Tribolium castaneum: one gene and its partner. The protein of the gene in region 2 binds, or shares a complex with, the protein of the main gene of each other region. Links are inferred from orthologs where the notes say so. Each region holds a gene or a part of one and is shown on either strand. Other genes may lie near its edges.

Evidence for each region. Proteins that work in one complex are often made in the same cells at the same time.
Region 1: the proteins of Bulli (region 2) and Ccz1 are in contact, whole or in part, in a cryo-EM structure (PDB 8JBE), measured with the Drosophila melanogaster proteins. The link is inferred for Tribolium castaneum from reciprocal best matches to the Drosophila melanogaster genes Bulli and Ccz1. Residues at the interface, in NP_648047.2 of Drosophila melanogaster: Tyr395, Gly397, Phe407, Tyr464, Ser467, Met470, Leu471, Gln474, Asn477, Asn498, Arg499, Asp502, Thr503, Arg505, Arg506, Leu507, Tyr510, Met512, Asp530, Thr531, Ala532, Gln535, Ile538, Asp539, Arg543, His547, Ile550, Lys559, Asp562, Leu566; in NP_647835.1 of Drosophila melanogaster: Tyr188, Leu189, Pro190, Leu191, Asp192, Lys193, Thr194, Phe196, Leu197, Arg198, Gln200, Asn201, Glu207, Val223, Leu224, Cys225, Gly226, Lys228, Tyr342, Asn385, Gln387, Ser388, Pro427, Ala428, Asn447, Tyr448, Arg449, Asp479, Phe483, Lys485.

The regions. Positions count from the first base shown.
Region 1 is NC_087394.1:35,478,713-35,485,153, forward strand, and holds Ccz1 (vacuolar fusion protein CCZ1 homolog), read right to left. Parts: upstream 3,670-6,441; 5' UTR 3,612-3,669; coding exon 3,537-3,611; intron 3,493-3,536; coding exon 3,395-3,492; intron 3,348-3,394; coding exon 3,254-3,347; intron 3,207-3,253; coding exon 3,000-3,206; intron 2,954-2,999; coding exon 2,778-2,953; intron 2,724-2,777; coding exon 2,434-2,723; intron 2,388-2,433; coding exon 1,986-2,387; intron 1,938-1,985; coding exon 1,879-1,937; 3' UTR 1,785-1,878; downstream 1-1,784. Other genes in the region: uncharacterized protein LOC655748, read left to right, coding at 1-398, 601-931, 985-1,307, 1,455-1,718; mini-chromosome maintenance complex-binding protein, read left to right, coding at 3,996-4,085, 4,135-4,317, 4,368-4,466, 4,511-5,067, 5,120-5,299, 5,364-5,607, 5,656-5,823, 5,871-6,068; ciliary microtubule inner protein 2B, read right to left, coding at 6,313-6,441. UniProt on the Drosophila melanogaster protein: Part of the Mon1-Ccz1 guanyl-nucleotide exchange factor complex specific for Rab7 that promotes the exchange of GDP to GTP, converting Rab7 from an inactive GDP-bound form into an active GTP-bound form.
Region 2 is NC_087394.1:22,495,268-22,500,493, reverse strand, and holds the end of Bulli (regulator of MON1-CCZ1 complex), read right to left. Parts: intron 3,366-5,226; coding exon 3,209-3,365; intron 3,159-3,208; coding exon 2,989-3,158; intron 2,937-2,988; coding exon 2,267-2,936; intron 2,216-2,266; coding exon 2,160-2,215; 3' UTR 2,100-2,159; downstream 1-2,099. Other genes in the region: Vps8 (vacuolar protein sorting-associated protein 8 homolog), read left to right, coding at 1,729-2,021. UniProt on the Drosophila melanogaster protein: Positive regulator of the Rab7 guanyl-nucleotide exchange activity of the Mon1-Ccz1 complex, possibly by enhancing its endosomal membrane association.

The sequences.
Region 1 (6,441 bases), about 13 Mb from region 2:
TAGACGCGTCCACAGTTGGGGACTTCCCCGCTGTTTATACCGTGTGTTCCCCCGAGCGGCACCAAATGCCCGCAGTTGGGGTTTTCGTCGACAAGCGCATAGTCCCTGGTTTTAAATACCGCGTCCGGCCTTTGCCCCAAATCGGCCAAGACCCCACAATGCACAAGTGCCTCTTCAATGACTCTGCCCTGACTTTGAAAAGCATCGGTCGGGGCTACGCCCGCAGATTCACTTTCGAGGCCACTGATAGTCTCAACAACAACGAAAACTACTTCTGGAGCGACAACCGGCCCGAAGGCTACGCGTTCGAGCTGGAGGTCATCTCCGAAGGGGACAAGTTCACCATCTTCGACATCAACAAAGAGGCGCAAGGCACCGTGGAGGTGCTACAGCTGGAAGTGAGTACCGTCTTCTTCCCATTTTTTCTTGACCAGTTTTCGCAATTTTTGCGCATTTCCCTTGCATTATTTTGTTAGAAACATCCAGCAACAGTCCGGAGCCATCTCATACGTTCACGCACTTAAGCTGAAGTGGGTGTAAGTCTTTCATGCGACGAATGACTCGTACGGGGACGTTTTCTTATGATGCTCACTCTTTCAGGGACCTCAATTTGAAATTAGTAATGTTTACAGCAGGCAAAATATCGAGAAACGGGCCAATGTTAGGTTTACGGGTAAGGTTGAGTTTTACGAAACGGGAGTGGCGAAGCCGATGCCTCTGAGCGGACTGGCGCTGGCTGTGAAGTACAAGCACAAGGGGGCTGCCGAGATCGTTAAAGTCCAAAATGTCGTGATAAACAAACAGAGGTACACCCTACTCCCAGGCATCCAGAAAATACACAGGAGAGTCACCGTTAAAGGGCGGGACATTAACGACGTCCCCACTCAATATTCCATGCACGGACTGGAGCCCTACGAACTCCCCGTTGTTGGTAGGTGACCGCATGGTTTGAAATTTCAAGTTTGACTCATTTCGCGCCTTCAGGTACTTATGTGGATCCCCGAGTCATCCCAGGATTCCACTACAAGGTCAGGCCAAGTGACAGGAAAGAACACTTGTTTGGTGGACGCGCTTTGAAGCTTTTAAGTATCGGAATGGGTTATGCCAAACGATTGACCTTCGAACCTGACTCTCTGCTCAACCCTGACAATTATCTATGGTCTGATAACCATCCCGATGGTCTCGGTTTGGAAATCAGAGCCGTTCATAAAGACATGAAGTTTGTAATCAAAGCTGGGGACCAGATTTTGGGTGAAGCTACAGTTTGGCGAGCTGACAAGCCTCAAATTGAGGAAAAAATGGAGAAGGTAAGTCGCAACTAGAACGTTATATTTTCTGAAAATTTTAAAGAATGCAAGATCGTTTTTCAAAATTTTGGGTTGGTAATGAAAAATTTTCATTAGTGGAATTGAACTTAATTTTTGTAGAGATTAAATTTTTCTCATCATTTCCAGGTTAAGACGCAGTCTGGCAAGCACGCGATTGAGAAATACGTCCACATTGACGTCATGTGCCACATTGCCATTGCTATTCCCGGTGGAGGATGTGACGAAAGCAGCGAGAGATTGATGCGCGTCTATGGCTTGGCTGTGGTGCGAAAAGAGCCCAACAGAAATGAAGCTCACGTTATTAGGGTAGAGAATGTCGGTTTGGACTCGCAACTGAACGTTTTGTTCGCACAAACTCACACTGAACTGACATTCTTCCCCAAAAAATAATCTCACCTCATTTATACTACTTAACGCCACACTCCATGGTAGTTGCAATATTGTGATTTCTTAGGATTTAGTGTTAAGTTATTTTGTATTTGCCTACTTATGTACACTTATTAATAAATGATTTTTGCAATAAAAATCGTGTTTTTTTTTGTACCAAATCCTACAGTGGGTGGAAGAAGATGCCTTTTAATTCGGTATCACACAATTTTTTTATTTCTTCTACAAAAATTAATGAAATAAAAAAATAACGTAACATTTTATACTTACCGCTTATGTCGATAAGACTTGCATTTTTCTGCTGCAAAGCCACGTAAAATTCTCTAGAATTCGAGTTTTTCGCAACAACCCAATAGTCATTCATTGTTTTGACTATCGTCTCGCTAGAGTGGCCCAACAGTGATCTCTTATTGTTCAAATCAGCCATTATTTTTAAAGATTCTTTGGTACATGCAATGTTTCCCGTTTGTTTATTATCCAAATGCGCTGTGCTTTTGTAAGCCAAATTCAATTTATTGAAATAGATAAACCTTGGAGCGTTTTCGGGGACATTTGATGGCGTAATCACTTGTTTGGAACAATATTCGGAAATATCTGACACGATTGCAGTCAATTTGGGGCTAATGAACTCGTCCATGTCTTTGAAATATTGCAAACTTAACTCCTTGTCGGCTATAATTAACAATTAATTTAATAAAACCAAACAAACGAAACAAACCTCTCATAAATAAACAAACGGACGCACTTAGCGCCCTATAAACCACCAAGTTGTAGGACTCGGCCTTCCCTGAGGCAAATAAATAAACTTTGGGTATTTTCCCCACATTTTTGGCTGTTTTTAAATTTGTAGGTCCCGTAATGAAACGACCGTGATGTAATGCAGCAAAAGGTGAAACAGAATTACGGGGCATTGAGCCCCCTTGAAGTTCAGCCTCCATGTTGGCGGGCAGTAAAGTGCCAATTAAATATTGGTACACAATTTTCATGTCTTTGGGTTCAAAACCGCTCCTTTGAATTAGTTATTACTTATAAAACAAGTTTTAAGTTATTTGAATTAATTACCATATGAGATGATCGTTGTATAAGAACGCTGTGTACGCAATTTCGGGATACTCGCATTCAAGTGAATTGATAAAACATTGGACTTTTAAAAAAGTTAGTTTGTCAAGAGGCAGATACTGAATTCCGTGGAACACGTTCAGAATATCAGCATGCCCTAGTTTTAAGGTTTTCAGATACTGTGAAGTATAAATTAAAATTTCTTAAATAATCTTGTTAACTTACAGCTTTATAGAAACTTTCAAGTCTTGTTTTAAGTGTGCCCACATCGTGGTTCTCAATCGTGTGTTCAAAAGTGCCCCAGAAAAGTCTATACGTGTAATAGGCTTGTTTTAAGACGGCTTCGTAAACATTGTCTTGTACATCATCCTCGAGATATTCGATTTGAGTTGAACTGTCCTTCCCCTTAACTTCGGTTGGTAAAGTTAACGTCTATAATATTTAGTGCTTAAAAGTATTGATTAAAGATGTGTAAATACCAAAACAATCCACATATTTTTTTCTGGTTGGAAATACAATTGACGCATTTTTTGCGTATGTAGTGAATTCACTGGAGTGCTTGGTTTAAATGTGCTACAAGAAATCTTACAGTTTTTTGCCCCTTATCTCAAACACTTTACCCAGTGAATTGAATGATCCCCTCAACTAACCCCACATTCTTTATTTGTACATCGGCATTGTCAGATATTGGATAATAATAAAGAATTTTTTTCAGTTCCTGGAAAAGACATTGTGATTGTGTTCTAAAAGGGGCGTACGCACCTCCCCTTCCTTGGGGCCATATAGAGAATTGAAAATAAAAAAGTTTTTTAACTCCACGTCTTTGTTTTTACTCATAATTCCGGTTCGAAACTTATTGAATAATATTATGTTTTTAGAAACAAATTTTTCAAGTCCAAAATTTTTACTAGGTTATGTTATGTTTAGCAATATCCATTGATCCATATTATTCATTTGCCATACATCTCAAACATTAAAAATACGCGGACAGGTACCAAAGTACCTACTTTTGCCGTCAGTTTTAGAACTAGAGCATATCTATTGTATAATTATTCCTTCCTCAAGTGTCTTTAATATTTTTTAAAGTTGTTTGGGATTAGGGAAATTGCAAGTTGCAACGCAAAGATTGACATATAATTTGGCGCCAAAAAGTGTAACCCTTTTTCGAGGTTATTTTCGGGTGTTCCTTTTTCTTTAAAAATAATAATAACGAGTGCAAAAATGGACTTATTAAACTGTAGGCCCGACCAATGGTACCTAAACGAAACGAAATATTCGGAATTACTTCAAAACGAACAAATCTGGAATCAGGTTAGAAAGTTACACTTTTACAATTTTTGAACACTTTGTACATTGTTAGATTCCACTGTTGAATGCAAACGAGCTGCACAATTTCCAAGACTGGCAACTGGTTCGCTTCCAGGGCATGATACAGGATATGCACGGTCCCGAACTCTACTTGGAAAAATTCACTGTTACAAACACTGAAACTGCAGAAAGTACTATTAAATACGGCAAATACGTTGATGGTGCAGACTGTAAGGTAAGAGTAATTTTTTGAAAGCTATTCGGGGGCTGAGTATGTGTTGACAGTCTAATGAAACCATTGAGGAATGTCCCTCAACCACTCCAAGTGAGCGGCATGTTTACGTTGCAATTTCAATCCCTGGTATTAATCCATGGGTTCATAAAGTGAGTATTGTTTTAATTGAGGGGTTGTGTAATAAAAAAATTAGCTTGAGGAGGACAGGTACAAACTACCGTCTACAAGCTCTTCAACTTCAGTGCACTTAAAACGACCCGTTGAAGAAATGGAAGTCGCTAGTGCAACTGAACCATCAAACTCTAACAAGCGCCCATGTAATCAGTCAGCACAACCTGCAGAAACAACACCTGTTGTTTCCCAAGAGTACCTTTTAAATTTCCCAATCCCCAATCCGTCTGGCAAAGTATGCCACTTAAAAGTATACAAAGACATGGACAAGATTAAATTGAACTCAATTTGTGAATTTGTGGGCTTTTTGTCCCTCAATCCGCTTTTAGGGGCTAACATTGATGATGATATGAACGGTCTGGAGTCTCAAATTCACAATCCTCCTCCGTGTTTAATTCCTAGAATTCATTGTGTGTCGTTCAAATCATTGACTCACAATAATCCATTAGTTACGCACGAAAAAATGAGCGCTGATAAAATGCAGATCATTAGAAAAGAACTTTTGATTCTATTAACACAATTAATGTGTGGAGATGAATTGGCAGCCGAGTATTTAATTTACCACTTCATTTCTAAAGTGTAAGGGAATTCGCACATTTGATTCTGCTATTTTTCACGTGTAGACTTTTAGCTACTTGCGGAAAGATTTAATGGCACTTGGAAAATTTTCCTTAAACATTTCCAACGTCCCAATGCTTGAAAACATTGATTATGTCCAGGAAATTTACAAGTTTGTAGAGACCCTCACTACCAAAAGTCATTATTTGCCGATGTTGCTCGAGAATATGAATGAGCTCAATTTTGTTCCAAAGTAAGTTCCGTAGCACCGTTATTTCAGTTTGTGTAAAATGATTCTTCTTGGCTTGTTTTTGAAGAAAAGACTACAGTTCGGATCGTTTAACAAGTAGTGTTTTGCAATTAAGTGATAATACTCATTTGGTGTTGGACGAGACGAAACTAACTCCGGGAAAATTAAACGAGGGCGGAGTTACCGGAGTTCGCGCTCTTTCAAACACCATCAAGAACCAAAAAATCATGTACGATTTCACGTACTATCAGCTCGAGTATGATTGTGATATTCCGTTTCTTGTGTTTTCTGAAGGCAAATCAATGCTGCCGGTTTGTACTTATCACTTTGTTAAACAGTTTTGAAAAAAATTTTTCTAGAGCGATGTTCATGTAATTCTCAAACCAGAAGAAATGCATTTAAAGACTTTCAGCGAGATTCTGGAAGCGGCAAAACATTTCCTCAAACCTGAGCTGCTAAATGATATTCGACTTTATCTAACTAACGCCCGGTTGACCCAATATGACTTATCAGACGGTGTGCTTGAGGTAAATTGCATTTTTTGGTGTCAATTATCAGGAAAAAAAAATTGTAGATGGTCCAAAATAAGTTTGTTGAAATGAGACAAGCTGGTAACATCACAGGAGACGATCTTCACAGTCTCCTTGTTTTGGCGAGACTTGTTTGCATCTCACAAGGAAGAAACACCTTGGATGAGGAATGTTGGAAGAAAGCGTGTGCCTTGGAAGAAGCCCGAAAAGAAAGAATAAAGAATCGCAGTTCCGAGAAATAATTTAAAAGATGTGGTTTTTATTTTCTATTTTCTGATAATAAATTGTCACTTTTTAAACATTGTTTCAATAAACAACCAAACAAAATACGATTACAGTACAACCTCTTTAATCCGAAGAACACAGTGCAAAGTTAATTCGGATTACAGAGGTTTGACTGCATATACATTTGCGCTTTGTGATATTTCACAACAATGAAACACTAAAGCTTCTATTCTCCCTTCAATAACGTTGCCACAAGCAACATTACGAAGTTTCTACTCTTTTGTGAAGATTTTCAAAGTCTTGCAAAACTCCAACGACTTGGTTTTGCGCCTTCTTCAAACTTTGTATCCTTTCTCTTTCCTTCTGTAACAGTGTTAGTCCTCTTTTTAC
Region 2 (5,226 bases):
CTATTTTTTTTTTGAAATACACGAATATTGTGATACAATCAAACTAATCTACCCTCGCATTTCATTTAAAAAACTGGTTTCATTCTGTCAATAAGATGTGGTTGTTACGACGATGAAGAAAAATACACTTGGTTTACATATTATATTTTCTTCAAATATAAAATTGCAAAAAATACAATGGATAGAAGGTATTAATGAAGCGGATGATTTAGAGAACGAATATTTTTTAAAGAAAACTCAAATCCTAATGTTAATAAAACATTAATTAGTGAGCACTCTTCGAGGTGATAAAAAAATATTAATTATTATTCTCTAACATTTCTTCTTTAATTTTTATTTCCAATTCCAGAAGCTTCGTTTAACTGTTTTTTTAATTTTTCTGTAAAGTGGCACTAAATTTTTATTTTTAGTTCTTCCTCTACACGGTGTATCAAAACCCACTCCCCACCGGAAAGGTGCTATTGGTAACAGCAACAGAGATGGCAAAAATGCAAAAAAAGTAGGTCTTTTATTCTTTGTTTGCGAAATACAGAGGTCTCAAAAGTGACCAATCCCAGAAGCTTTCTCCTAGGTGTAGTGCATACAGTAGATGCGTTAGTAAGGAATGAAAATTAATTCAAGGGCCCACTTTTATTGTCGCTTCTACCTATTTTTTGTTTTCCTAGCAACGTGTTTTGTTCCCCTAGTCCTCTAGAGCAAGGCCTTTTGTGAATGGTTATTTTCAAACGTTCTTATCTCCCAAACACAGAGTTAGAATTTTTTTGTGAAGGAACTTTAGTTTCAGAATTGCTCAAACTATACGCACATTTCCGGTGGGGAGTGAGTTCTGATACAGGCTGTATAATCTCCTTTTTTCTGTATTTTTTTTATTTTTAAACAGCTTCAATCGCGGAATCTGAATCTGTGCTTTAAAATGGTTCTTCTCTGTGCCCCGTAAGTATGTATTTTCCCCGCAGCTAATTTTCTGGCTTTGTTTTTCAAATTGTCAAATTTAATATTAATCTGCTTCAAATTTCTGACATGAATTTTTTAAATTAATTTATATTGTTTTACCTTGACTTATCTTTTTAAATGAACTAATTTATCAAGTCAAGTTAAATTCGATAAAATAATTCTTCGAACAATAAAAGCTCTTTCTTAGCAGAAAAAATAAAGAAATATCGGAAAGTATAGTGCTAAGCGGGAGATTACTGATCAAAGAACTTAATAGAAATTATTTGTTTCATCAGCAAGAATTGCAATGGAAAAGTAGTTTTAATTTCAAAACTTAGTACATACCTACCCAGACATAAAGATAGTGCAAACACTATCAAAAACAATAATAAAAACATTACTACTTTTATTACATTTAATATGGTTGAAGATAAAAAAGTGCGAGGAATTAAATTCAATACTAATTTTATTATAAAAATATTTCAACTAATCTTAAATTCTTAAATAGACCGACAAAATTCTACCCATGGTAGTATCGAATGAGTACATGCTGGGAAAAATAGTAAAAAAAATCTTAGAATAACCGTTTTACAAAGAATTTTTTCAAGTTATTTTGGAGATAAACCGTACGCCACTGATGTGGCACAGTTAGTGGAAAGCATGATAATTACTTGATCAGTGCAATAATCCACGGTATTATATTTTTTGGTACAGGAAAATCGTAACCTGTGTCTCGTTTCGTCTCCCAATTTATAGTCCTCGGTAATGTTTGGACCGAAATAATTTTTTTTATAGAGTTGGCGAAATCGTTATGTTCGAACAGTCGGGGGATTTCCGTGACTAATGTTGGCTGCAAATTGTGCCAGAAACCGCTGGTCTTTCGTCAGGAGTTGGGCGGTGAACAATCAATTGCAGTATGGGGCTGTGGGCACTGTTTTCACGTCACGTGTCTCAAAGTGATCGAAAATGACACGGCATGCCCACAGTGCCGAATGCAGGCGAGCCAAGTTCCGGCCACTCAGCCGGTAAAAAAGTATACTGTCGAAACAAAGACACACGCAAGGCCTGATCTAGAAGGCCACTTTTAAGTACTAGTCTTACTTAGGATATTAACACTTTCCGTCATTAGAAAATTTCTTTTACTACTACCTGCAATTATGTATAAATTTGTGATATTTATATTTTTATTATTTGTACAAATAAAATATATACATGTTATTTATTAGTTATTTCTCTAAAAACGTTGAGTTGTACTGCTGTACGAATTGGTTCAGTCTTTCATCTACAAAAATACAAATAAAAATTAACTCAAACGTATAAAATAATGACCAACCTTTGCTAAAAGCCCCCGCGAACTGCGACGTATTTTTAAAATAATACAAAACGCTATGAAACATCCCGTCATCGCCTGTATTTTGGGCCGCTTGGAGAAATTTCCTTGGGTTGGCATTTTCTTGCCCCAGTTTAAGGGCCGACAAGACCTGCCCCTCACTCAAGAGAATCTCCTGTATCTCCTCAATGGCGTTCAGTCTTGCCAACATATCGAGCGCCAACTGAGACGCCGCTGGGTGCAAATTACCCAGTGATAAGAGCAAGCAAGCCAAGGGTTTGGAATCCGAAACCACCCCATACTGGAGCAATTGTTGCAAAGCTGTGAATTTTTTTCGCTTCACGAGCGTTGTAATCAGCAATTCGTTCAGATTGTGCTGTGCTGGAATGCCTTGTTCGAAAAGCGACGTCATGTAACTAATCAAAGTCCACTCGAGCTTGCCTAGATCTTTGTCGGCTTCTAATTTTTGGAAAATTTCGTTGTACATGTCCATTTGGTCGATTTGGACCCTTGACAGAGGGGGCGGTTTCAGGGAGGGGGCCCCTGGAGGGGAGGCAGTGTGTGACTGCAGCTCCGCCTCCAGGCACTCTCGATAGACATTGTTTATGTGGTTGAAGGATTCTTGCAATTTGTCTAAAGGCGGTTTAGGTTGTCTTATAGCTTCAAGAAGCAGCTAAAAATGTTTAAAATTGGATTAAATTTAGATTGTAAGACAGGAAACGTACTTTGAGTAATATTGGTTTGCCGTTTGTCCGCTTCAGCGCTAGTTGTGTACAAGTGGCTAAGTCAGTGATTGAGCTACACAGCTCAGCTAAGCACAAGTTAATGTGCCACAAACACCCCAGTTTTGCATCAATTACAATATTCGGTTGGAAAACAACCCAGTTTGGAGAATCTTAAATTGATAACACAATGTCAAATAAAAAAACAGCTGGCTGAACTCACATAGTTCGCAAAGGTGTGATTGAGGTTCAACCAATCCAGGCAGAGTTATTTGAGCTGGTTTAAATGACCTAGCTGGCGCCACTGTCGTGTGGTACCTTACTGTACCGTCGCTTTCTCCGGGTAAAGCGGTGTCGAATATTTGCGAGCTTCGTGACGCCTATGATCGGAAGGAACATTCAATGTTTTTAAAACTGCAGATAACTCGGAGCGATTTGGTACATACTACATGCGATAAATTTTGATAAAAATATAGGGTGAGCTAACTGTGGTGGTGTACTTGCGAAATTTTCTTGGGTGACAAAAGTACCATGCGATCATTTTAATTTATAATTAGAGTAGGGTTTTCCTTTTCATTGTGATTGATAAACTTTCAAACTCAAGTAAAAAAAATAGAAATTAAAAATGCATTTTGTCTTGACTTCTAGTTGTGCTTGATAGATTAGTACAATTAAACTAATTATACTAGAAACTTTTACTGTTTCGTATAACATTTTTTACAAAGTTGTGATTTACGAGTTTAAATTCTTAAGTTCATTGTAATTTTTTATAAAGAGAAACAAACTGTGCTATCGGTGCTGTCTTTGTGAAATTAAATTGCGAAATGGGAAATTTGCTATTTGGACAACAACATGTACTACAAACACTAAAAAACTGATTTTTGGAATAGTGATTCGTATAGGGTACATTCACGATCCTAAACAATGTCACCTCTACAAACCGGGCCGGTTAGCGAGGAGCAGGAACTCAAACCACAACAATAAAACTTCTGGGTCACAAATGTCGTAATTCATAAACATTCCTTGGAATGGTGAAATTTGATTATTGTCATGAATGATATTAAATTTGTGAATTACAGTGGGTTTACAGAAAACGAATTAAAATCTAATTCAACATTACATTAATCCATTTATCATTTACTCTAACAAAAGTCAAATTAGTTGCGAATTAAAATTTGATTGCAATTAAGGGTTCTTTGAACCGCCTTAATTTAGCAAAAATGAACTTTATCGCATAAAGTAGGTAAAGAATAATTTGATATTTTTTCTTTTTAACGAAATTATAATTTTAATTTTAAAATAAGAAGATAATGATTTGTTTTAAATTAATTCTCTATGCAAAAGCAATAAAAAAATGGATGACATATTCTGCCCTCTATATTGTTTTCATACCTATGGTTTTTACTAAATGCATAATTGGTTGAATTTACTAAGATGAAAGTAATCTGTAGTCAACAATTTTACTGCTCGTTATTCCTCATCTTATACCAAAATCATCTTTTTGCGTAACTTACACACGTAATAGCAGGGTTATTAGTAGTTATTACTTATTGGCCCGAACATACACATACTAAAAATGTTCAAGAATTTACAACGATTAATTTTGATGCTACCGATTATAAGGAACAAATAAATTAGAGAGTACGGCACCAACTCACCACCCCATCAGTTCTACCTAAGGTTATTAATTATTGTAATTAATGAAAAGCTTGTAACATTTAACATTACTTTCCAGAAGAGAGTTTAAATTAAACTTAATTAAAAAAAATGCATTGATACTGATGGATCTTTTCCCCAAATTGCATTTTCAAATTTGAAATTAATCAATTTCAAAAATGAAAAATAAAATGAAATTTATTTATTCCTTAAGCAAGAGTTGGGTGACAATTTGACAAACCCTAAACCAAAATACGTAGTGCAATACGAAAATACTGACGAGTAAAAAGTCGGTCATTTGACTCAATTAAGTCATGTTAATTAACTTATTAAGATGAATAATTATAGTGCAGAAAAAATGCTTATCTTAATTCTTATTGTGTAATAATTATAGGGAAATTAAAGCAACGTATAAAATTCATATTTTTGTAGTAGGTCACTTTGCACAAAAATCTTTGAACAAGTCGTTATTTTTGTATTTAAAAAATACATTTTGACATCTTTGTAACATCTGTAACGTCATTGGTTTTTGAGTTAAGACGTCATTTTGTTATTTTTTTAAACGGCAACCGACATTTTTGTTTA